Linked DNA regions of Coturnix japonica. The protein of the gene in region 3 interacts with the protein of the main gene of each other region in a pairwise test. Links are inferred from orthologs where the notes say so. Each region holds a gene or a part of one and is shown on either strand. Other genes may lie near its edges.

The links.
Region 1: the proteins of MED4 (region 3) and TNFAIP8 interact in binary tests that used the Homo sapiens proteins (3 or more experiments, as listed by UniProt). The two-hybrid records come from large-scale screens. The link is inferred for Coturnix japonica from reciprocal best matches to the Homo sapiens genes MED4 and TNFAIP8.
Region 2: the proteins of MED4 (region 3) and AMOT interact in binary tests that used the Homo sapiens proteins (3 or more experiments, as listed by UniProt). The two-hybrid records come from large-scale screens. The link is inferred for Coturnix japonica from reciprocal best matches to the Homo sapiens genes MED4 and AMOT.

The regions. Positions count from the first base shown.
Region 1 is NC_029547.1:63,276,025-63,283,765, forward strand, and holds TNFAIP8 (tumor necrosis factor alpha-induced protein 8), read right to left. Parts: upstream 4,104-7,741; 5' UTR 3,055-4,103; coding exon 2,928-3,054; intron 2,197-2,927; coding exon 1,631-2,196; 3' UTR 396-1,630; downstream 1-395. UniProt on the Homo sapiens protein: Acts as a negative mediator of apoptosis and may play a role in tumor progression.
Region 2 is NC_029519.1:12,242,866-12,250,511, reverse strand, and holds the start of AMOT (angiomotin), read right to left. Parts: upstream 4,104-7,646; 5' UTR 3,915-4,103; coding exon 3,902-3,914; intron 2,526-3,901; exon of another isoform or gene 2,461-2,525; intron 1-2,460. Other genes in the region: PGK1 (phosphoglycerate kinase 1), read right to left, coding at 7,413-7,453.
Region 3 is NC_029516.1:150,968,115-150,975,493, forward strand, and holds the start of MED4 (mediator of RNA polymerase II transcription subunit 4), read right to left. Parts: upstream 4,742-7,379; 5' UTR 4,669-4,741; coding exon 4,571-4,668; intron 3,672-4,570; coding exon 3,605-3,671; intron 2,956-3,604; coding exon 2,785-2,955; intron 2,166-2,784; coding exon 2,108-2,165; intron 1,285-2,107; coding exon 1,198-1,284; intron 94-1,197; coding exon 1-93. UniProt on the Homo sapiens protein: Component of the Mediator complex, a coactivator involved in the regulated transcription of nearly all RNA polymerase II-dependent genes.

The DNA.
Region 1 (7,741 bases), on a different chromosome or scaffold from region 3:
CAGACCTTAACTGACACTCATTCAGATGTCAAACAAATAATCTAACTCTCCTCAAATTCTGAGGCACTGTTCTTACATCACTTCCACATTACTCCAGCCAAGCAGTGCAGTATATTAATCAGCTCTCCCTCTTGTATTCTAATGGCTTGTACAGAAGGAGTCTGTGTTTTGAACACACATTTATCTGGCAAACCTCTGGTGTCTTTCTGGGGATTATTCAGAGCCTAGTGACTGAGCTAATGCGATTTCAAGTGAACTCTGTACTCTAAAACTTGACGTGGGATGCTGAAGCAATATCTCAGACTGTAATGTTCTGGTTGTCTGCATGCTCCAAGTACTTTCTTTGTAATTCAAACTGCAACAGGGAGGGGGAAAAAAAAAAAAAACATGAAAAGTTCAGAGTGCAAATATTCTTTGGTTTACTCATTAAAACAGACATAGCAAACAGCAAACAAAAAACTGGCAATTAAATAAACTGCAAATTCTTTATATGCTTTCTAACAAAAGTCTTCAGGTGTTTGAAATGTATTAACTTCACACTTTTAAGTACATTACAGTGTCTAGGAAGTCACATTTATTTACCCCAAGGGCAAGGCAGGGAGAAGATGAGGGAGGAAGAGGAAGGATGAAAGGTAGGAGGGGAGATGAGAACAGAAACTGATTCAAGATGTCACTCCTCCAGTAGTTCAAGAGCATATAACCCCAAAATGATCTGTTGTTAGATACACTATAAACAAAGCAAACTGGCTTGGAATTTATTTTTCAGATCATTAAGCTTTCCGAATGCACATAAACCCAAAGTGTAAAATAAGCTGACCTTTGCTGAAAGAATTATGCCATATTAGCAGGATTCCAACAATCTTAAGGAACTGCAGAAGTAAGTCACTGTGTTTTACCCTACAATTTCATATGCATGTACCACAGGTTCTGTTTAGGGAGTGTTTTTTCCCCCCATTTAGGCTACTTCACTGCAGCTTATTGTTCCTGAAACAATCAAAGGAAACAAAGCATCTGTGTACATCTGCTGGGATCACCTGATGGCCTTTCAGACATTGCTGAGCTGGAGAAGCACAAAACCAGTTCAGACACTGTGACAGCATCACTGGTGTTATGCAAAACTGAATGTCTTGCAGGGGCAAACTAGGAAGCTGTGATCTGTGCAGACAGCATAAAAGAATACAAATCGATCAGATACAAATGTTACAAATAAATTGAAGATATCATAGAGTGTACCATGACACCACGTTACCAACATTACTGGACACCAGTGGCTTATAAATATTTATATAAATATATGGATTGTCTGACAGCAAGTTAGTTTGTTTTCTGTATCTGTTTTGTGTACCCTACTTGGACCTTTCTATTCTATTCTGTTTATCCATCCGTTCCCATGGGCAAAGCACAGCAAAAGAAGGTAATGTGCCATCTTTCTTCCAGATGGACTGCAAATAGCAATGGATAGCTCATAAGAAGTAATCAGTTTAATAAAGATCATTTTGAAATATTTGTCAGAATATAAAAAAAAAAAAGAAAAAAAGAAATCCCCATTTTCATGCTCCCTTATTCCTTCATAAATCAACAGTGTTCCACCTACAAACAACACACGGGCAGTCAACTTTAGCACAGGTGCTTATATGTTCCCCTCATCTAGCATTCTGTTGACCCCGTCACAGAGTTTCTGCAGATGAAGTTTATAAGGTCCAAAGGGATTATACAAGGCAGCCAAAAATTCACAATCGGAGAAGTGATCAAACACGTTGTTGACACGTCCGTGCGATTTCGCTGTTAGGTGACGCTGAATGATCTGATGAAGCAGCTCTCTACAGTCATTCAACAGTTTGGACAAGAAATTCCTGTCAAAGGTATAATCCACCTGATGGAAACTGACCACCGTCTTCGCCAGCTGATGAACTTTCTTCTTGAATTTCTCCATCAGCGCAATTTCATCTTGATTAAATTGATTGTTCCTGTAGAGAATAGCCAATTTGAGGACTATTTTAATGAGGTTTTTGATGATCTTCTCTGCTTCTTTTTTATTTTGTGTGTATTCCTTTGTCACTCTGTAGAGCTCATCTAACACATCACTGCTGGTATCATCTATCAAAGTAGTTGCTATTGACTTGGACACCATTTTCCCAAGGATCTTCTTCTGGGCCTGAATGGCCAAGCTTTTCGAATTGAAGACATCCGTGGCCACTGGGGAAGGAAGAAAACAGACAAATTGGTAGTCAATACCTCATCACACACCTGCTATTTGAGGAGCATCTCCGTGTCCACCCATTCATCTCACTAATCACAGCAGAAATAATATAATCTTAATGAACAGAGTTGCAGAAAGATCTTATACCACCTCATTAATGGGCCCTTCTGTGAACATTTAAAGTAGATCCCAGAGCTACCTGCAAAACTATATTTATTTGCACCTCCTGCAGCAGCTCACGGACGGGCTGCTGCCTTCCTGCAGCCCCAGCAGGCCCAGCTTCAGCCACTCACATGCATTTGGCATAAGGAAAGTTTACTTTGTAAACACAGAGTCTGGAAACAGTCTAGGCAAGGAGTCTGCTCCACCACAGGCAAGGGAAGGAGGCTGTCCTCCGGGACAAGCAGACACAAACCCCTACTTCTTCCCCAACCTCATCTGAAAACATAAAACTACAACTCCTTTATTAAGGTCTCAGCAATACAGCACCGGCCGGCTGTACACATTTTCTAGCTGAATGGTAGAATGCATAAATTTCACACTTCAGCATCTCAGTCAATCAAAAGATACCTGCAAGCTGCTTTTGTTCCCTAAGCTTTATTTTCCCTCACCACCTACGTAAGAAAGAGCTACAAGCACTTCAGTCAAGCTGAGTTTAACCAGGACGCTCACAGGACTCCTGCAGACTCGGCACACAAACTTCCTCTTAATAAAAGCAATTACTTACTCGTTCCGCAAATGGAATTGCAATTGTCAATGCAGACGGCAGTATCCAAGGAAAAACAACTCAGTATAGAGCTTAATGACTCTGCTAAACGCAGCACGTGCTTTATCACACCCTTATCGGTGATCATGGAGCGGACACGCTTTCCTCCCACTCTCCATAGCAGCCACTCTTCTCAGCCACCTTTCCCCTCAGCCCGAAACGCTTCATTTTACTTTGGCACCTCAGAACGTAAAAATACGTCTCAGTGGTTTCACTTCCTCTAACAGAGAGCTGGAAGGAAGTTGCAGTGCTGAGCAAGCAGCAGTGCAGCACCGCTAACAGGGAGCCACACTGGGTTGGGGAGGGTGGGTTGGAGCAAGCAGCCCAGCATGAAGTGCTGGCCATGGCCCTGGTGCTGTCCTGCAGATTACTTTTTTATTCCTTAAGTCTGTGCTGCGAATGTGAACTTTTAGTGCAAATGGACAATTCAATCTTAATGAGTTCTCAGGAGCCCGGTGTAAAAGCACTACGAAGCTGTCACAGCACGGAGCTCATTCTCCCCTCATATGGAAGGCAGTATTTCTCCCTCTGTACTGTGGCAAATACCTATTACCAAACACCCCATTTCTCAACGCTTAGAAGAAAACATACTTAAAGAAAGAACGGCACAGAATCAGATGACTTCACTGCTTTAAGCCAAGATACAATTATTTTTTCCCGTAAGATAACAGGAAACTGTAGCTGCAGTGGTGCCAGCAGACAGGCTCAGTGTACTCCATCTCATGCATACTGACAACGAACACTTAGTCACTGAATGTTTGTAAGCTTGCTGTCATAGGGATAGACATTAAAAATTAAATAAAATAGAACCACCCAATAAAAATCTTCCAGTGAACCCTGAATACCATGGGCAAACCAGGATCTGAACTTTTTGACATGGGTTGCATTTCTGATTCATGTACTCGGCATGTCGGTGTACAGTTAGACTACAGAGCTGTTATGCAGCCACTGGAGACTGCTTTCACTTTAATGGCTGGCGGGGCACGTCCTGCACTAATTCTCTGCAAGCTCCAGAAACCACAGGGGACTTTGGGTGAGGCACACAGGACACAGGAAAAGAGATGTAGGAGAAAAGTGACAGCACCAACTGAGAACATCAGGCCCCATCTGAAAGGCCGCACCACACAGTTTTGAGAACTGTGGCAAGTGATTTCCTGCCTGGCTTCCTGTGTGGACAAGCATGCTTGCCTCCGCACAGGCTGCAGGTTGCAACTGAAGCGAGAGGCAGCAGCATGCCCTGCGGCTGGAGCACTGCTTCCCCAGAGGAGGAGGTCAGGAGACAACCTGAAGCCAAGCTGGATGCTGCAGGTTAAAGTCAGATGGTGCTGCAGGAAGGATGCCATTACCAACAAGAACGTATGTGCAGTACTGCAGTCCCACGAGAGCGGCCTATGCCAACAAGTTATTCTGGTTTTACATGACTCTGCTTCCCAGAGCCACCCTGTGCAGCACATGACACATGCTGAAGCTGATGCAGAAACTCAAAAAGCCTTCTTGAAAGCTTTTTTTTTTTTTCCTCTACAGCCTCTGTATGTACTTTAATTCATAGGTCAGACATTGGCACAGGTTGCCCAGAGAGGTGGTGGATACTCCCCCTCCCCAGGAAGCATAGGGCAGGCTGGATGGGGCTGTGAGCAACCTGGTCGAGAGGGAGGTGTCCCTGCCTGTAGCAGAGGGTTGGAATGAGGTGATCTCAGAGGTCCCTTCCAACCCAACCCATTCTGAGATTCTATGAATAGCCTCACTTTAATTAGAAAAAAAAAAAAATCGTATTAACCTCTGATGACTTCTAGGCATATTTTAAAATTTACTGGATTTTAAACAGAGAACTCAGCAGTCACAGAAAGTAGAGCCCTTTCACTCCTTTGCCACCATGTCCCATCCCTGCTGGAATGTACCAACAGGTGCTGAGGGATTAGATCTCAACTCTTGGCTGCACTGAGTTCCTCCATATCTACACTAAGCAGCAATTGTGCATCAACCTTATCACGTGAAATAAAGCACATTCCAGGTCATTCCTTCAGAACAAGCAAACAGCGTGCAGATAATCTGTGTTTTCTGTCCCACCTCAGAAACATTTCCCAAACTGCAGAAAGCCAAGTCTCAAGTTTCCTAACTCAACTGGCATTTCCAATAAAATAATCAAACCGTTAGAACTGCATCTTTTACCAAAAGCTACAAGTTTAAAAAGAGATATCCAGCTGCTTTCAGAACCATGCCAACAATGGGAATGCCTCATTAGCAAAATACACCTTAGCTGCAGGCACAGGATATAGGGCTGAATGCAAGAGGAAAAGCACAGTGAGAGGCAGGCCAAGGGAAATCTCAGTGCATGAAGGGACTCAATTTTACCCAGGAGAAGTAAAAAAAAGAGGATGTTACAGATACATGCAGCAAAAAAATACAATTAACTGATACCTGCCCACAAGGTAGAGAGAAGAAAACAATCTGGCCCGAGAGGAACAGGGAGAACTATTGCTAGAACAAGCAGCAACTTCACAGTCGAAATGCAAAGAGCACGTACTTTGAATAGCATGTAAAGAAAGCCACAGCAGAAGACAGTTCAAATGAGAGAAAGGTCTGTGAGTCTTTCACTGACTTTGAAAATAATGAACAACGTTTTTCCTGTATTTCTAGTTCCAGTCCTGTGTTGTTGCAGGCGTCAGTCTGTGCTCCACTGTCTGCATCCTGCAGACAGGATGGCATTCCACCAGCACCTCTTCTTCAGCGCAAGGCTGAAGGAAGAGCAAGGTGAGCAGCCTATGCTTTGGTTGTGTCTTACTCTCCCATCGTCCACTTGAGGAGAGCGCCTAAACTCTAAAGTAAAAGCAAAACCAGTCTTCCTAGATACTCAGTTTGGTTTTGCTTTCATTAACATTATTAAAACATGTCTGGTAAAATATAAAAGGAAAGCAATAGCAATTCTGCTTTTAGATGCTGTAAATATCAACTAAATAGTAATTCAGGAATTCAGTCACACCCCTTTGCTTCATCTACACGTCCATGCCAGACACCGTTCTGTTGGACTGCCCCTCTGCTGCCATCTGTCACATGAGAACAACATGGAATGGAATACTGGCAGGAAGGTTCAACCCCTGCCAACATCCACCTGTGACATCATGGGCCAACATAGTAAAATAGGAGGCGTTACTTTCAGAGCAGCCCTCATGTATTGCAATGTCAAACTAAAATATACAACAATGGGTGTGCAAATAAAACTGGCTTTTTGTCACTGGTGTAGAATAAAAGACAGGTTTCCCAGTTTCTCCCTTCCTCACCTAGAACAAGGCTGGGCACAAGTGAGAGCAAGTTGGAGGTCTGTGCTGACGCAGTGGTTACAAGGAACCAATCTACTGGCAGACACAGGTACATCATTAATCACACCATTTTTTTTGCTATTCAGAAGTCATTACAGGGGTGTGTCTGCAGAATAAAAATTGTACATATGCTCTTAAAAGTAAACAACTCACACAACGAAGAAAAGTGGCAGAACAAGAGAAAAACTGAAAGGCAGCAACTTCTGTAATTGTTACTAATGAAAGAAAAGATGGATGAATTCAGACTGAAGATAGGAGTGGCTGTTGGTGCCTGGGCTCTTCCTTACAACATCACTGGCTTTTGGATTACAAAATACTGAGTATTCTTAGAAGCCATTTGTTTAGCCAGCTCCTGAACTTGGAAATGGCACTGTCAAAGTGCTGCAGCTTTTCTGAATGCTGGCGAACTCCTGGAAATGAAGGAAGATTGATTTAAAAAAAAGCATTTTAAAACAAAACGTCATCCTCCTGTCAGTGGAGCACTGTGTCCAGTTTTCTCCTGCCTAGCTTCTCTGCTAGAGGAACTAACACATTCAAGCCTATCCAAGAAGGCATGATCAGGGAGCTACAGCACATGCTGTGTAGAACAGGCTGAGAGTGCTGGGCTTGCTCAGCCTGAATAAGCTAACAGGACAGCTGACTAATAGATCCATCTCGTTACTGAGGGGTTATGGGGAACGTGCAGCCAGGTTGCTCTTGGAGATGCACAGAAGAGCAAGAAGCAACAGATGGATTGCATTAGAAGAAATCCTCACTCAGTGTCAGGAATAAGTTCACAGAGCAAGCAGGCAATATTGCAGCTAAAGAAGCTGTGGAAGCAACACTCTTGAAGATATCAATAAGTTGACTGCCAACAAAAGGCCTAAGCAGCTTCAGCTACTTCAAATGTGGATCTAGCTTCAAAGCTGTCTCTGCTTTGAGTGGGAGATCATGCCAGATGACCTCCAAAAGCTCCCCACAGCCTACTGTTGTCTTTGCTTCTCCCTGCTGATGGCCCTCTCTTCAAGGAACAGCACCTTATTCCCAGTTAAACACATAAGTCCTGCAGTTCACAGGGGATTAAAAGATTTGACTGCGTAAGCATAATTATCCTAATTATCTTTCTCAAGGCAACCTAGCATTCAGCCCAGCAACTGCAGCTAAATGATTAACCTGTTCAGAGTTTCAGTGGTTCCCTAAAGCAGCCTTCCACCCACAGCTAGTGCTTGTGCCCCAGTCTCTATTCACATCACCACCTTGCTCACCCATCTGCCCTCACTACACAGGGAATGGTACTTGGGATATGAAGACAAGCGAAGTGCACTACAGGAGATAGCAGCTCAGCGTGGACTCCATATGTCATACACAGCAAAAAATATACCTGCAGAAGAGGTAATAGGAGTCACAGAATCACAGAGTTTGGAAAATACCACCAAGTTCATCCAGTCCAACTGTCCGCCTGCCACCAAGTCGCCATCT
Region 2 (7,646 bases), on a different chromosome or scaffold from region 3:
ACAGATCAGATGAGTACTGAAAACTGAGCCTCCAAGTCCATTCCTTGGGTCCCCAACAAAGCTGAATTCAAGTAATCTGTACAGGGGAGTTGATTTGCTGGTGGAGTTCTGGAAAAATAGAATTTGAAACGGTAGGCTGGAAATTGAAACTAAGGTTCTGCTTCGCTGTTTGAGGCAACAGATATTTATCTACCGAGTTCAGCAAGCATGTGCTGCATTTTCTTTTGACTGTTTTACTTTATGAAGTAAAAAGTATGAATAAGGGTTCCCAAATCAGAGCAACAGCTGAGAGCCCTAAAAAGAACAAGCATGGTGGAAAACAGCAAAGTTTTAACACAATCGTAACAAAGTCAGAAATAATTGTTCTAATGCATTCGGTTCCTGACAAATCTCAGCTTCAGAAGCGCTTTGCATCCACTGAGAGTCCTAAGGAACTTTGAAAGCGTTCAGGGATCACTGACATTTGGCAGAGCGGGGCCAGCAGCAGCAGCAGCCAAAAGCCAAGCAGAGCGCCCTAAAACACCGAGTGAGGAACAGAGATTCCTGCCTAAAGGATCAGAGCAAGTTTCCCATCGTGCAAAACGGCTAAAGGTTTCAGACCTCAAGTTTTCTACTTGTTAAGGAAGTTAATAATTTGAATATGACAGGACTCAGCAGGAGATCATTGATCTACATTAAATGAGAAGATGCTAAAAGCCCCAAGAACTTGAGTAACTGTAGGAAATTAGCATGTTTTGGTTTTTTTTTAATATTAATCATACATGCCAGACTACTCTTAAACATTCTCTTTCCACATTCATATCCACACCTTTACCTTTGTACCATTCGAATTCTGTATTCAGCTCTGTCCCTTGATCATTAATGCAGACTCCTAAGCTTCAGACTTCAAAGAAACGCACGCGTAAGAGTCACAGGCGCAGGACTGGAACAGCGTCAAAGCCTCCCTGTGCAGGAACCTCCATCTTCTGTTTGACTTCACTGTACAAATACTTCGTTCTATCAAGACTGAGAAATTCAATGATTTAAGTAGGGCTTCCCACAGATTAAGTTAATAAGGGAATCCAACAGTGCCTCATCTCCATCCGCCTTCCAAACACTGGTAAATGAAAGGAAATAGGAATGTCTCCTGGGGTAAGAGAAAGACGTGAGCTCTCTACAAATGTGCAAGGGAAGAAACCAAAGGCTTCTTTGTGCGCATATGTACTTTTCCAGGAATCCTCTCCCCTCGTCTCTCCCATAAGTGGCACCAAGTTTTTCTAAGAACGTTATCACATGCAAAGGCAAAGCCTTGTCCAAGCAGCATAGGTTTAGTTTTCTCCCTACATCCTTCTAGACCTGCTCTTCCAAGGTTTTCTGTCAGCCATCTGCCCCATACACTGTTTCTAATGTTATACTTTTATATACTTCCTTTGATCCTTCCCCCTTTTTTCTGCTCTCATCCCCCCACCCTGCAGCTCCCAGTGCTTGTGTACCCCACTGCCTTACTGCTGTGGGTGTCCTCTTGCCACATGGAGCCCATGTCCAGTATCACCAGTGCTTCCCAGAGCTCCAGCCATCCCTTACTATTCTGAGCTCCATGTATATAAAACAATTACAGTTAACACAAAACATCTGGGTTTTACAAACAAAGAAATTACAGCACAGGTAGATCAAAATCAGACCTCTCCTAAGCCCAAAGGGACTCAGTTAATGTAACCTGCAGTCAGCAGCCTCTGAGTTTGAAAATTAAACCAACATCTCGTGGTTGAGACTAAACCCCTGCACAAGACAATCCAAAAGGAGTCTGGCCATTTTAGGTTTGTTCGTAGCTGCTGGTGTATTCCCAGCTTTCAAGGAAATTACCCAACACCAAACACAGGTGCGGTTTCTTTAGTGGTAAGAAAGCTGACATAGCTCTTCAGATTCTGCCATTTTCACCTACAAGATGGTCTGCTCTCACTCTGAACTAAGTTGTAGGATACAACAGTGTAATGCAAGAAGCTGTTATGGATGCACTTCAAATGCCTTATGACGACCCAGAAAACATCAGGCTAAAGTAGCAGTATTGATGGTAGAACGTATGATGACTTATGGAGAAGGTGAACTAGAAAGTCAAACTCAGAAACTTCTCTGCTAATGAGAACATTGCAATTAGGTCATCGCTAAACACTGTGTAACTAGGAATCAGAGCACAAATATTGCCACAGAATAATTAATACGTGACAGCAAGTTCTTGGAATGAGAACAGGGATTTCTCCCACATAGCCCTACTATTGAATTATACAGATAAACAGCAGCCCTGAGATAGTCAGCTTCCAAGGAGGCACGCAGGTAAAACACAGAGATCCAGTTTAGTATGAGCCTAAACTCCCAGACATGAAAGTTCACACCCAACTTTAATGAAAGATAGTGCTCAGAGTGAGTTCTGGGGTCAGAATTCTATTTAGGTCACGTATGAACTTGATCCAGGACACAACTTACTTTAACTATCTTCAGGACTCGAGTTTGAGCAGTGTTTCTAATTTCCAGTAATTATTTCTCTTTTGCTAAAAAAAAAAACCCCTACATTAGTTCCATTTTGCTCAGTTCAGACTGTGGGTTATGGTAGCTTGCTAAACACCAGACCTTTATTCAAACCAGAATGCTTTTTGTCACAGACACCCTGAATCTCTCCCTCTCTACAATCCTACACAGGCACCCAGCAGTACCTGCTGCTGGGGCACACAGGTCAGGAGGGCAAAGAGCTGCAGGTTAATGGGATGCTGCTCTGATCAGGGAGGTTAGGTTACAAGGCCGTGCCTTTGAAGACCGGCTTCTTCAGTGTGGCCCTTTGGTTTACAACTGGGATTTCTTTTAATTAGATTGTATTCCTAATTATTTATGACCTATATTATCTGCAGAAGCTGCCCAAAGCCAAAAGATATCAGCTTTAATGAGGATAATTGGAATAGGTTTTTTTCCCTTCTTTTGTAAAGCACCTTGGGCCTTACTGATTAGAGGTGCTAGGACAGGATTAGATGTTAAATGAAAAACTATTATTAAAACGTGGAATAAGAACGAGGACTGAATTAGAATGGAATTTTCTATTTTCTGTTGCATGAGGGATGAGCAGAAGATCATTTATTAGAGGTGACACAGAAACTTAACCTGAAAATCAAATGGGCATCTTCTTGATGCTCCTCGTGGTAAAGGACTCCAGGCAAGGATGCCATGGGCATGAGCCTGGGACCAGATGTTTTAAGAAGTAAAAACAGCCCCCCAAGTACCTGTGCCATGGGAACACCAGGAGGTGTCCTGGCACATAGGGGTGGTTTCGCTGGGTTCTGGCTACCTACAACATCAAGCAAAAGCAACAGCCGCCAGGTTCCTGCGTGACTGCAGATTCAGCCTTCCGTCCCTCTGCTCTACCAAAAAGATATCTTGGAATTGGCACAGATGGAACTTGTGGCTCTGCTCCCACCATATGGTGAGTCTCGCTGAGAATATTTATAGGCCAACCTGAATCAGCCTGCCTATAAAGGCCCAGTCTTTTTTACCTGGGGCAGCGCAGGGATGGTTGAACCCAGACCTCAGGGGGCTGCTGGGGGATCATTCTCTCTCTATGGGGCAGGGACACAGATACAGAGCTCCCAACACTTCTGGGATCATCACTCATAGATCAACATTTTCTTCTCTCAGGAACCAAAGTAGGAGGATTTGGAGTCCTTTCTGCTTAATTTGGGGTTCGGGCAGAGGTGGATCAGCAGGAATGGGAGCAGTGGGCCAGGCACGCACTGAGGCCACAGGGCTCCTGTGTGGGACTACAGGAGCAAAGTGTCCCCTGGCGCTACATGGACCCAAAAACAGACATGGCAAGGGCCAGCACAGCTCTGCTCTCCCCTTCACACACGCAAACCCCTCTGACCGCAGAGCAGGTACTCACGGCAAACCCTCATAGCCTTCTCGAAGCTTTCCCAGGAGTCTTCCTCAGGACTCGCGGGGGCCTGGGGCTGAGCCCCGGCTCTGCCTCCGTCCCCGGGAGGGGCCCGAGACGGGGCAGCGCGGCCACAGTACCCTCAGGCCGAGCGCGGGGCGGCGGGCAGCCCCTGAGGGAGGGATGGAGGGCAGGAGGGCCGCGGTCGTGAGGCGGGAGCAGACTCCTCGCTCCCCCTTTCCCCCAGCGGCCTCTCCACCGGCGGAGCCCCGCGCCGCTCCCCTGCACCTGCCCGAGCCCGGCATCCCGGCGGGCAGGGCGGCCGCGGGCCCTCTCAGAGGCGCGGAGAACCGGCCTCACCGCAGCGGCCCGCGCCTTCCATCGGTCCCTCCCTTCCCGCTCCTTACCCGGCGGGCGCCTGCCCCGTCGGCCGCCCGCTCATCCATCCTGCCGCTTTCCCCGCCGAGGTGACAAAGCCGGCATGGCAACGGGAGGCGCCGCGCGGCTCTGGGAGGCGCCTTGCCCAGGTTGGGTGGATAACTTTCACCAGGCGGCGGCGGCGCCCGGCATCCCCCGCTGGGCCGGGCCCTGCAGTGGCTGCCGGGAGGCGTAGTCCGCCCGCCCCTCCTCAGCGCCCCGGGCTGCGTGCTGGGCTCTGTCGGTGGCGGCACCTCAGCGAGCGGAGGGTCCGAGCGGGACTTGGTGGGGATGAAAGCTCAGAAGTCCTTCTCAAAAGGCCGAGCGAGTTGTTGTTACCGCTGTGAGTGAGGTACGCCGAGGAGAGCCCGCAGGGAGAACAAAAGGACCCGGAGCTCACCCTTACCTCCAGGTGAGTGGGGTTTCTGAGCTCACGAAATGGCTGCTGCCCACTGGAGGCCCCTCACAGAGTCACAGAACTGCAGGGCTCGGAAGGGACCTCGGGGTTCCATGGAGTCCAACCCCCTGGTCAAACAGGAGCACGCTCCCATCTACTCGACTCTTACACTTGAGATCCCCTCTCAGCCTTCTCTTATCCAGGCTGAACAGCCCTACGTCTCTCAGCCTCTCCTTGTACAGGAGATGTTCCAGGCCCCTCATCTTTGTGGCCTTCTGCCACATGCTCTCTTGAAATAGATAGTTACAGATAGACAAATAGTTACTAAAACTAAACTATAGGCAAAGGTTAAACATCTGGAAATTGTTGTTAATCAGCTGCTGGTCATCAAGCGTACAGCTCCTGCAGACTCATGCAAGGACATTTCATCCCCTTTGCTTTAATATCTGAAAAACTAAGCATGTCTAGTTCTGCTGTTGGTTTGTTCTCAGCACACAGACCTAAGAGTGGCAATAATTAGAATAAGGCATGGAAACAAACAAACAAACCATTCTAAGACATACATAGCACGAATCCAAAAGTCAGGTGCAAAAATATTTTTGAGTGCATACATCTGTGTTCATGGTGCATCACAACTCCTTGCTATATTTGATTACAGACAGCTTTGTCTTGTTGCTTTTGATGAAGAGGAGGAGGACAAAGAGGAGGTAGTGGCCACACACCGACCTTTCACTGTAAATACCAAAGGAGATATGGAGGGTAAGTCTTGTTTTTGCTCCATGGGAAGCCAGCAACACAGGATTCCAAGAGCGACACTAAAACAAGCCTTGCTCTAACAAGGCCTTGTTTGCCAGAGCCAGACAAGAACAGACTGTTATAAAACACGGTGGAACGTTTGTTATTGTAGTAGTAGATTTCCAAAATCCATAGTCTTTTTGTGGCTGACAAGCTCATTCTTTTCTTTGCCTCGTTACTGCAGCTGTGGGAGGTCTGCACCCCTGCCTGGAAAACATGAGCAGCAGCTAGAAAGCAATCCTAGCAAAAATCTGCATCATTCATGTGTAATCAGACAATGCTTGGGAGATTTACAAAGGAGGGAGGGAGAAGACTTACAGTGCTGCAATCATTTACATTATTTCTGGTTGCTTTTCAAGTGTCGCCTTTAGGTTTAAAATGTAGCAAGTATAATTTTCATATATACCTTCATAAGCACTTTAACTTGATTGGGTTTTAATTTGCATCCTGCTGTGACCAAGTACCATTTAGCAAATAGACCACGTCTGTTTATAACACATACCTCCATTTTGTCTTGGCAGTACTGTATACATTACATACTTTAACTTAAAAGCATGCTCTGTATTGCAGCTTATTGCTCACCTCAAAGATTCTCTCCACAGCTCATCCCTGCGTTGTTCAGCTCAGCCCACACCCAACACCCAGGATGGCAGTGTGATAGTACTGCAGGGAAGCCACTAGGTCTAGAGCAGGCAATCACTGCTTTATCACTGCTCAGTGATCCAGGAGAAAGATACATATTTGAATCACTGCATTCTTGTAGTTCTTCTGAGTAAAGCTTTGTATGACTGCTGACTTGATCCAAAACACACTTTTGGGTGATTTGTAGCCAATGTGATTTTGCTATATCACTGAGTTTCATTCAGAGCTACCTTGTACTTACATTTGTGTCCTGTAGCAGGTGCAGGAGCCAACCCCACAACAGCCAGGATCAGAATAATCCCAACTTCATACATTTGCACCACATTGGTGCTATTCCACTGACAACGCTTGTAGTTCTGCAATGTGTTTGATCTGTAAACAAGCCTGATTATCTGTTTTGCTCTGCTTGTTTTAGCACTTTTATGCTCACATACATGAACAAGAGTATTGCAGTTCTGTTTGTGTACATAAGGGGGAAGGCAAAAACCTTGAGTTCTTACCTGCCTGCCTTCAAAGGTTCCAGAATATTTAAGTTAGAGACATTAGCTGTCTACTGTGCAGCAAGTTTTCTCTACAATAACCACATTTGAAGCTTTGACCACTTTTTACTACACCTACTATTAAAATTTCATCTTCTCTCTTACTTGATGACATGCAAGTTTTGATGTAACACCAGATCTACAATAACTTCCTTACCAAAGTTCACATTGATGATGACTGGATGCTTACAGATCCACGGGGTAAAAAAAATAATAATGAGAAAGATCTGACTCCTAGTGCTAGAATAAGGGTATTTTAATGCAAAATCTGAAAGAAAGACTACATACCAGCTGTCAGCATTTTAAATATGTTTATTCAGCAGCTATTACGATCGGCCTCCAAAAAACTGGAGTCCCCTTTTGTTTTTGAACCGTGTCAAGTGACAGAAATGCCTGCTAGGAACATTGAAGAAGCTACACAGTGCACTCCTTTCTGAGAAACAGACATGTCTAAGAGGGATTAATCTCTCTGAGAAGGCAAAATATAAATATATACACTCTAAATCCACAACAACAGTTTAAATGCACTACATTATAATTCAAGTGGGATAAGAGTGAACACATCCAGATCATGTAAACTGCAGCCATAAAATATCTCTGCTGTCTTCTCAAATCCTGTCCAGTTTGTGTTTACATCCTGTGATCTGCCTATCGCAGAGTTGAAATACAGAAGCATAGAAGTGTTGAATCTCAGGGGCTGTGCACAGTAACGGGGGTGATACGCTGTTCTCTACGCGTTGCTCAGGGCATCCACGCCAGGAAGAACCTTACCTGTGAGTAGTTAAAAAATACCAATAAAGTTAAGAAGTACTTGGCTTTATGCTTACAACTGCAACAATTACATATTTAAAAAACAGAAACAAGCAAAATCCCCCCCCAAAAAAACACCTTAAACTATAGGTCACACTGTTTCTACATGCACTCCTGCTGATGTTTGTGGCTATCGCAACTTGTGGGTTAAGCT
Region 3 (7,379 bases):
GTCCATTAACCCCATTGGTGGATGGGTTGTTCATCTGACCCAAGAGACCACTCCTCATTTCTAGATCTGTAGGATATGGCCTGCGTGGATCCCCTATTAATAACGACAGTGATAATAATTAGATATTAATTAGAAAATATTATCATCTTTCTCTTCTGTGTCTGGTTTCCTGTCTGGATCAAGAATGAGCATCACCCCTATTCTATTAAAACTGGAGACTTTTCTTGCTCATTCTAACTTGTCACAAAAATTACATTACAGTAACTTCAGAATATCTTTGCTCTCTCTGTTACTTGACAGCTAAATAATTATGGGATGAACGCACTAAATGTACTCCTGTCAAGAGGGACTCATGGATGAAAAATTGGGCATGAGCTGCCAGCACACAGTTGCAGCCCAGAAAGCCAATTGTATACTGAGCTGCAGCAGCAGCAACGTGGCCAGAAGACTGAAGGAGATGGTTCTCCCTCTATTCTCTACTCTTATGAGACTCCAACTTAAGTACTATGTTCAGCTCTAGGGCCCTCAGCATTAAGACATGGAGCTGTTGGAGCTGGTGTAGAGAAGTGCCATGAAGATTACCAGAAGGCTGAAGCATCTCTCCTATGAAGAGGGACTGAGATAGTTGAGGTTGAGGCTTTGGGGAGACCTCACTGCAATCATTCAATACTTAAAGAAGGCTGATAAAAAAAGATGGACAGAGCACCTTTTTACAAGGGCATGTAGTGATAGACTGGGATTAGATATAAACCAAATTAGATCTAAAAGTAGATTTACATTAGATATAAGCAAGCCATTCTTCAATATGAAGGTGGTGAAGCACTGGAACAGGTTGCCCATGGAGGCTGGGGAAGCCCCATCCTTGGAAATACTGACAGTTGCGTTGGATGGGAGCTCTGGGCAACCTTGTCTAGTGGAGGGTTTGAAACTGGATGGTCTTTAAGGTCCCTTGCAACCCAAGTCATTCTATGACAAGTTGTCATGGTTTTGTAACGTTGCTGTCAAAATTCCACATCATAACATCATGTGCAGTATGGATCATTAAATTTCTTCAGAAACCCTAGATGTAACAGCTATAAAAATATACATATCTTTAATAAATCAAACTGTCCTTCATTGTGTAAAAACATTCTAAAACCAGATACTGATTGTGCTCTATTATTCAAGAACAAGAATAGTCATAAGCACGATATTTACCTGGTACCCACGTCAGAGGGGCACAAACAGCATTACTAGCACTGATCCTGTGGGCGTATTTAATTATTTCTTCAGATGAAATGGCACCTGGAAGAAGGAAGAAAAGTTCCTGTATTTAAGAGACTGCATCGTTTGATTATTTCTGAATATTGGATGGTTTTTCATACAGAAAAAATTAGGAAAGTCATTCTGTCAAACATCAAAATATGCTTCAAATGCAATGACTGATCAGAGATTCAGAACAAGCGTCATAGTGAATTCACTTTCCAGCCACATGTTCCGTATACCTTGGAGTGTTAACAGGTCTTCAGCCTTTTGAAGAAACACAAACCAGTATCTTCCACAGTGCACTTGACAAGCACATTGTTAAAGAAAATTTCAGCACTTTTACTACAGAAGTTCTGCAGTAATTAAAATCTCTTTCTTCTTCGTAGCTGTAGTTATACATGTACGCAGTAGACCTTCCCCTAATAAATACACTTGTATTCAAGTTCCTCTAATAAATACACTTGTATTAGAGTTACTAGAATCATTCTGAAATTCCTTGATTTGTTTAGAAGGAAGTATGGCAAAAATGACTATAAACAAAACTTAAAAATGCTGCCTACCAAAAAAAAAGAAGAAAAAAAAATCAGTTTGACTGGGAAACTGCCACTCATAGCAGCAATTGATACAAATACAAACAAATATCACCAGCTAATCAGTCTTTTATAAACAATGGTATCATATACATGTACACAAAAAAAACCCTTTCACTTTTCCAGGTAGTCACACTGAAATGATTTGATTTAGGCAATATGAAATCTGTAATAGCCTTAAGAGAAAATTACTAACTTAGATTACTAACTTGAGCTCACTTGCAACACTCTTTACAACTGTTTGTATGTTATGTACGATCGCGGATACTCACCTTTCCTTGCCTTTTCAATTGATTTCAGTTTTTCCTTTGCTTGATAAACCGCTGTGGCCTAAATGTGAAAAAAAACAAGAAAGAAACAACACTATCTACAGCAGGGGAGATTCAAGCTGGACATTAGGAAATAATACTTCTCAGAAAGGGTGGTCATGCACTGGAATGGGCTGCCCAGGAAAGTGGTGGAGTCACCGACCATGGGGGTGTTCAAGGAATGACTGGATGTTGTGTTGAGGGACATGGTTTAGTGGGAGCTATTGGTAATAGGTGAACGGTTGGACTGGATGATCTTTTAGGTCTTTTCCAACCTTGGTGATTCTATGACTCTAAACCAAAACTTCACTGTATCTTTCATTTGTATCCTTCTGTATTAAGATCTGTGTGACTAAACCCTTGATGTAACTGCATTTTAGGAGAGAAACTTCTCCGGAAACGCTTCAAAATATACAGAAACAAAGTAGATTTGTAGAAAATTATCAATATAAAGTAACTGAATGCCATGATAAGGAAGTAGTTTTACTGGGAGGGGGGGAAGACAATAAAACAACCAACTCTAAAGCTCTCACAAAGTTTTAAACATTTCAAACTTCTCAAACTAACACAAAACTTTCTCCAAAGCTTTTCCCCTCCCTACTAGCAGATGCTCAGAAGCAAACACATCATTATGAACTTACCAGTATGTGCTCTGCTTCTTTCAGTTGCTTCTGCAGCTGCTGAATGTCATTATCTCTCTTTTCTACTACCTTTTCTAAAAGCTGCATTTCATGATGGATTTTCCCCTGATCAACTGCCAACTTCATTAGCTCTTGAAACTCTCCATCTCTCTGAATCAGCAGCTCCAGGATCTATTAGACAAGAGTTTTGTAGAACTTTTAATTAGCTCAAGTAACAACGCACCCTCCACCACACTGCAAAAAGCAACTGATATCCACAAGATTATTATTTCTTGCTCAGCTTGCAGAAACAGCCTACGAAGCATGAAACAAATGAACAAGCAATCAAAAACATGAAACCAAGAATGCTTTTTCAGTGATGCCAAAGCTTCATCATCATCGTTAGGAGTCCTCAGTCTCAGGACTAAGTCTCAGGACACCCAGGAGGGGAGTAAACTCTTCGAAATGGCTGACAATAGCAGGACATGGGGAAATGGTTTTAAGTTAAAAGAAGGAAAATTTAGGTTGGATGTTAGGGGGAAGTTCTTCACTAGGAGAGTGGTTAGGCCTTGGAACAGGCTGCCCAGGGAGGTTGTGGATGCCCCGTCCTTGGAGGTGTTCAAGGCTAGGTTGGACGGGGCCCTGGGCAACCTGATCTAGTAAAGGTGTATGTTTGGTGGCCCTGCCAGGCAGGAGGGTTGGAACTACATGATCCTTGAGGTCCCTTCCAACCCGGCTCATTCTGTGATCTGTGATTCTGTTAGTTCATGTACAAAGGGAGAAAATAAGAAGACATAGCATTTACCTGCAAAAAGGATAGCAACTAAGAAAGTCAATTTACCTGGCTCTCTTCTCCTGGTTGTGGAAGCTTCTGGTTTCTTGAAATTGCCAAAATTTCAATTAGTTCCCTAAAAGGAAAACAGTATTTATGCAGTTTTCTAAGCTATTATTTGTAAATCACACCAAATCATCCCCAACTGAGTATTTACATCATTATTAAATCATTCTTGTTCTTAAGTATTTTACAGTTTTACATCACAGTGTTGACAGGGATTTCACTTTTACTTCCATAAACATAAGTATTTCACAATGGTGTATCAGCTGTGCACCAAACTCACAAGAATTAGCTTAAAAGAGCTTCTCAAACAGACCTCTTGATCTTGCCTCCATTTAGTTTTCCCACCATCATGTAGAGCCACAAAGAACCTCAAATGGAGCAATGAAGTTACCATCCTTGAAGGTGCTCAAGAAACATATAGCTGTGGCACTGAGGGATGTGCTTAGTGGGCATGGTAGGGACAGGGTGATGGTTGGATTAGATGATTCAAGAGGTCTTTTCCAACCTTAATGACATTCTCTACGACTAGAATAAAGTTGATTGCGACTGTGAAAGGCCCAGCTCCATGGTACTGCTGATCACTCACATGTTGCTGACAGGCTTTGGGTTTGCTATCGCAGAATCATTAAGGCTGAAGAAGACCTGTAATTACATCCAGTCCATCCATCAGCTCTTCCCACCATGCCCACTATCCCTGTGGCAGTCACTGAGCCACACGGCAGGTTGGTAGCGAGTAATAAGAGCTGCTGGAGAGACAGACTGCTTGGGAGGCAGACTGCACAGGTGCCAGCGAGGAACAAAGCTCCGAGCACACGAACCAGAGCACGGACACAGCTCTCCTGTTGCCCCCCGGGCCCCACGCGTGCGTTCGGCCCCAGGCCGCCGCTCATCCTTCAACCCAACCCCGGCTCCTCGCTCGCTTTCCCCGCCGGAGCCTCGACACCGAGTCTCGGCCATCCCATCGGGTACCTGGCCAGGAGTTCCAGATCCTCCAGCGCCGCCAGCAGCCTCTCCCTGGTGCTGCTCCGCTCACCACCTCCCCCGGCCGCCGTTGCCGCAGCCGCCATCACGCTCGCGGACCCGCCCCCGCCGTAATCCAGCCCCGCTCGGGCGGGACACAGCGGGACACAGCGCCTCCAGCGGCCGAGGGACTGCGGCACGACCGGCAGGAGGCGGGAAGCGGCAACGGCCGCCCTGAGGGGCGGGGAAGGGCGGGACGGCGCGGGAGGCTGGGGCGTGGGGAGCCGCCATGTCGGGGGGCGGAGATGACGTTCGCTTCGGCTTTAGGTGTGGGCTTGTGAGCGCCGTGTCATGGAGCTAGTTCTTTGTAGGTGGAACTGTGCTTAGAATCGTTTCTGAGCCTAAGTTCGTAACCACCAGCTCATCCCGCCATGCACACTAACCGTGTACCTCAGTGCCACAGCTGCCCGGCTCTTGAACTCCTCCAGAGACGGTGACTCTAAGAGCCTCTAAATGGGATTCATACCTACTCTAAAGATCTAGAAAGCAAATGATAAAGAAAGGGGGTATGACTGAATTCCATCTTATCATTTCGTACTCAGTGTCTGTGGGTGCTGATGTCTGAAAATCCTTTAGGTGGCTTTATCAGATGGAGGAGGAAAGTGGCTGAAGAATGTTAAGAGTGATGCTGAAGGAGCCAGGATCACCTCTTGCCTAGGTTTCCTATCCCACAAACAGCAGGACTTCACAGCTATCAAGGAAAAATGACCATCCCAATTTGCCAAGGCTTGCCCATAGTAGCCAACCGCAGCTCTGCTTCATTACAGAGGTCTGCTTGCAATGACAGGGCAGCAAACATGCAAGTGCTGCCCTCTGTCATGTCAGCAGTTGAGCTAGAATTAAAATATACTGAGTTGTATGGGTTATGTTTTGGGGTTTTTTTAAGTGTTGCTGTAATTCGGGTGGTTCTGTAAACAGGCCTCTGGCTCTGGGTGGGGACACAAAAGAAGCCAGACTGAAGCCAGTGGAATTTTTTACATTCATGAAATCTTCTGGTAATATGAAGAGATCAGGACGGAAGGTGGAGGCAGATGAGGAGTGAAAACAAATCCAGAGCCAGGGTTTATGTCTGGGGTGAGGACTTAGGCAGAAGCCATGGTGTCCTCAGCCTCCACATTCTTCTCTTGCCAGCAGGCAGCTGCCGAACCCGCCAGCAAAGCAGTGATTCACTTCTCTCTTCATTAGAGAAAGCTTCAGATGAATGATAACGTCTCTGGATGTTCTAATACTAACGCTGATTATCTTTTTACCTTCTGTAATAAGTACGTCCCTGAGAAATTTACACTTATTAAAAAAATGAAAGGCAAGAAACTCATTAATCAACGATCCTTTGAATTGTGGTTTAAATAAACAATTCAGCGTTATGAGATCCATGATGAAGCAGTGAGATTTGGCAACCCTGAAATGGAGATAACCGCCAACGAGAGTTATTTAATATTCATTTACAATATACAACAGCCCTCAGAGTCCTGATGGTAGATAGTTTGGGAATTCTCTTGAAGCTACACAGCAGATAAAATCTCATCAAATAGTTCTACTCTTTAAATAACTTTTTCTTGCTTTTTTTTTTTTTCACTGTTTTTGTTCAAGGAAAGATGTAATCAGTGATGCTGTCTGGTTGTGCATCCACTTCACTGATTTGTTAGAGTGTCTGTATGGCTGCATGAGCAGAAAGAAAATAGCAGCTTCAGAAAGTAAAGCAATCCTTCTGCTAAATCATTTTCTTCCTCGCATTCATTTTGACATCTGAATTATTTAGGCCTGATGTATTTCTAATACATTTCAGGGCCGCGATGCTAGAGCTAAAACTTATAGCATTAATTGGACGCCCAAACTTGACAGGCCAAGGGTGTAGGAGGTTCCTGCAAGCTGTCTTTCCCTTCTTGCATCCAGGAGCCTGTTGCCTCCATCCCTTTCGACAACAGTATGTCTACGAGCCAGGCCAGTGCCACCAGGCTTTCATTGGAGCAGCTGCCTCCCTCCTCTCGCTTCCCAGGCTGACGACCCTCCTCTAGGCAGCGTGTTCATCGTGCTTTTGTTCTGGTGTCTGATCCTTCCCCTCTCCTTGCTCTGGGGATGGAGTAGAGGATATCAAGGGCAGGTTCCCAGGCAAAGGCTGAATTTGAGCTCCTGCCTCTACGTGGGAGGATGGGCTGAGGCCAGAGGCATTGGGAAATGCCTGCCTGTGTGAAGACATAGAGCGTCATTCAGACTGTGGTAGAGAGGTCATCTCCTTCTGGGCAAAGGGGAAGGCTGGGTTAAATGGGCTTGCACCCTAAACTTGCCCCATGGCCCACTTGTTTAAGACTAAGTGGATGATTTGCTGAATAGACTTCTGAGCCGCACAAAACAACGGAGCATCTGTTTCCCCAGTGTAGGTTCCTCTGTTTCCTTGGTTCCTCAGTGCTTTTGGATTTCTTTCCCCTGAGTAAACTTGTTTCATAGTTGTGTTGGTGTTGAGCCAGATCTGCTCCTTTAAAGCTTATGCATTTCCTGAATAGCTAAGCATCATTCCCTGTTTTTTCTCAGTAGCTTGAGAAGATTTTTAGTTGGTGGCCATGAAGATAGCTCTCCATGCACAGTGAGTCTCCCCCCATCTCTCTTTGGCCACGCATTCTATCTCATTCCTCTTTATGTAACTGAAAGCACACAATGAATCAGGTGAGCAAACAAATTCAACAGAAAAGCTTCATTTTTTCCTGGTGCAATTGCCTTCTGTTAGATGAGCTTGCCGAAGTAATTGGCTTCACTGTAGCCA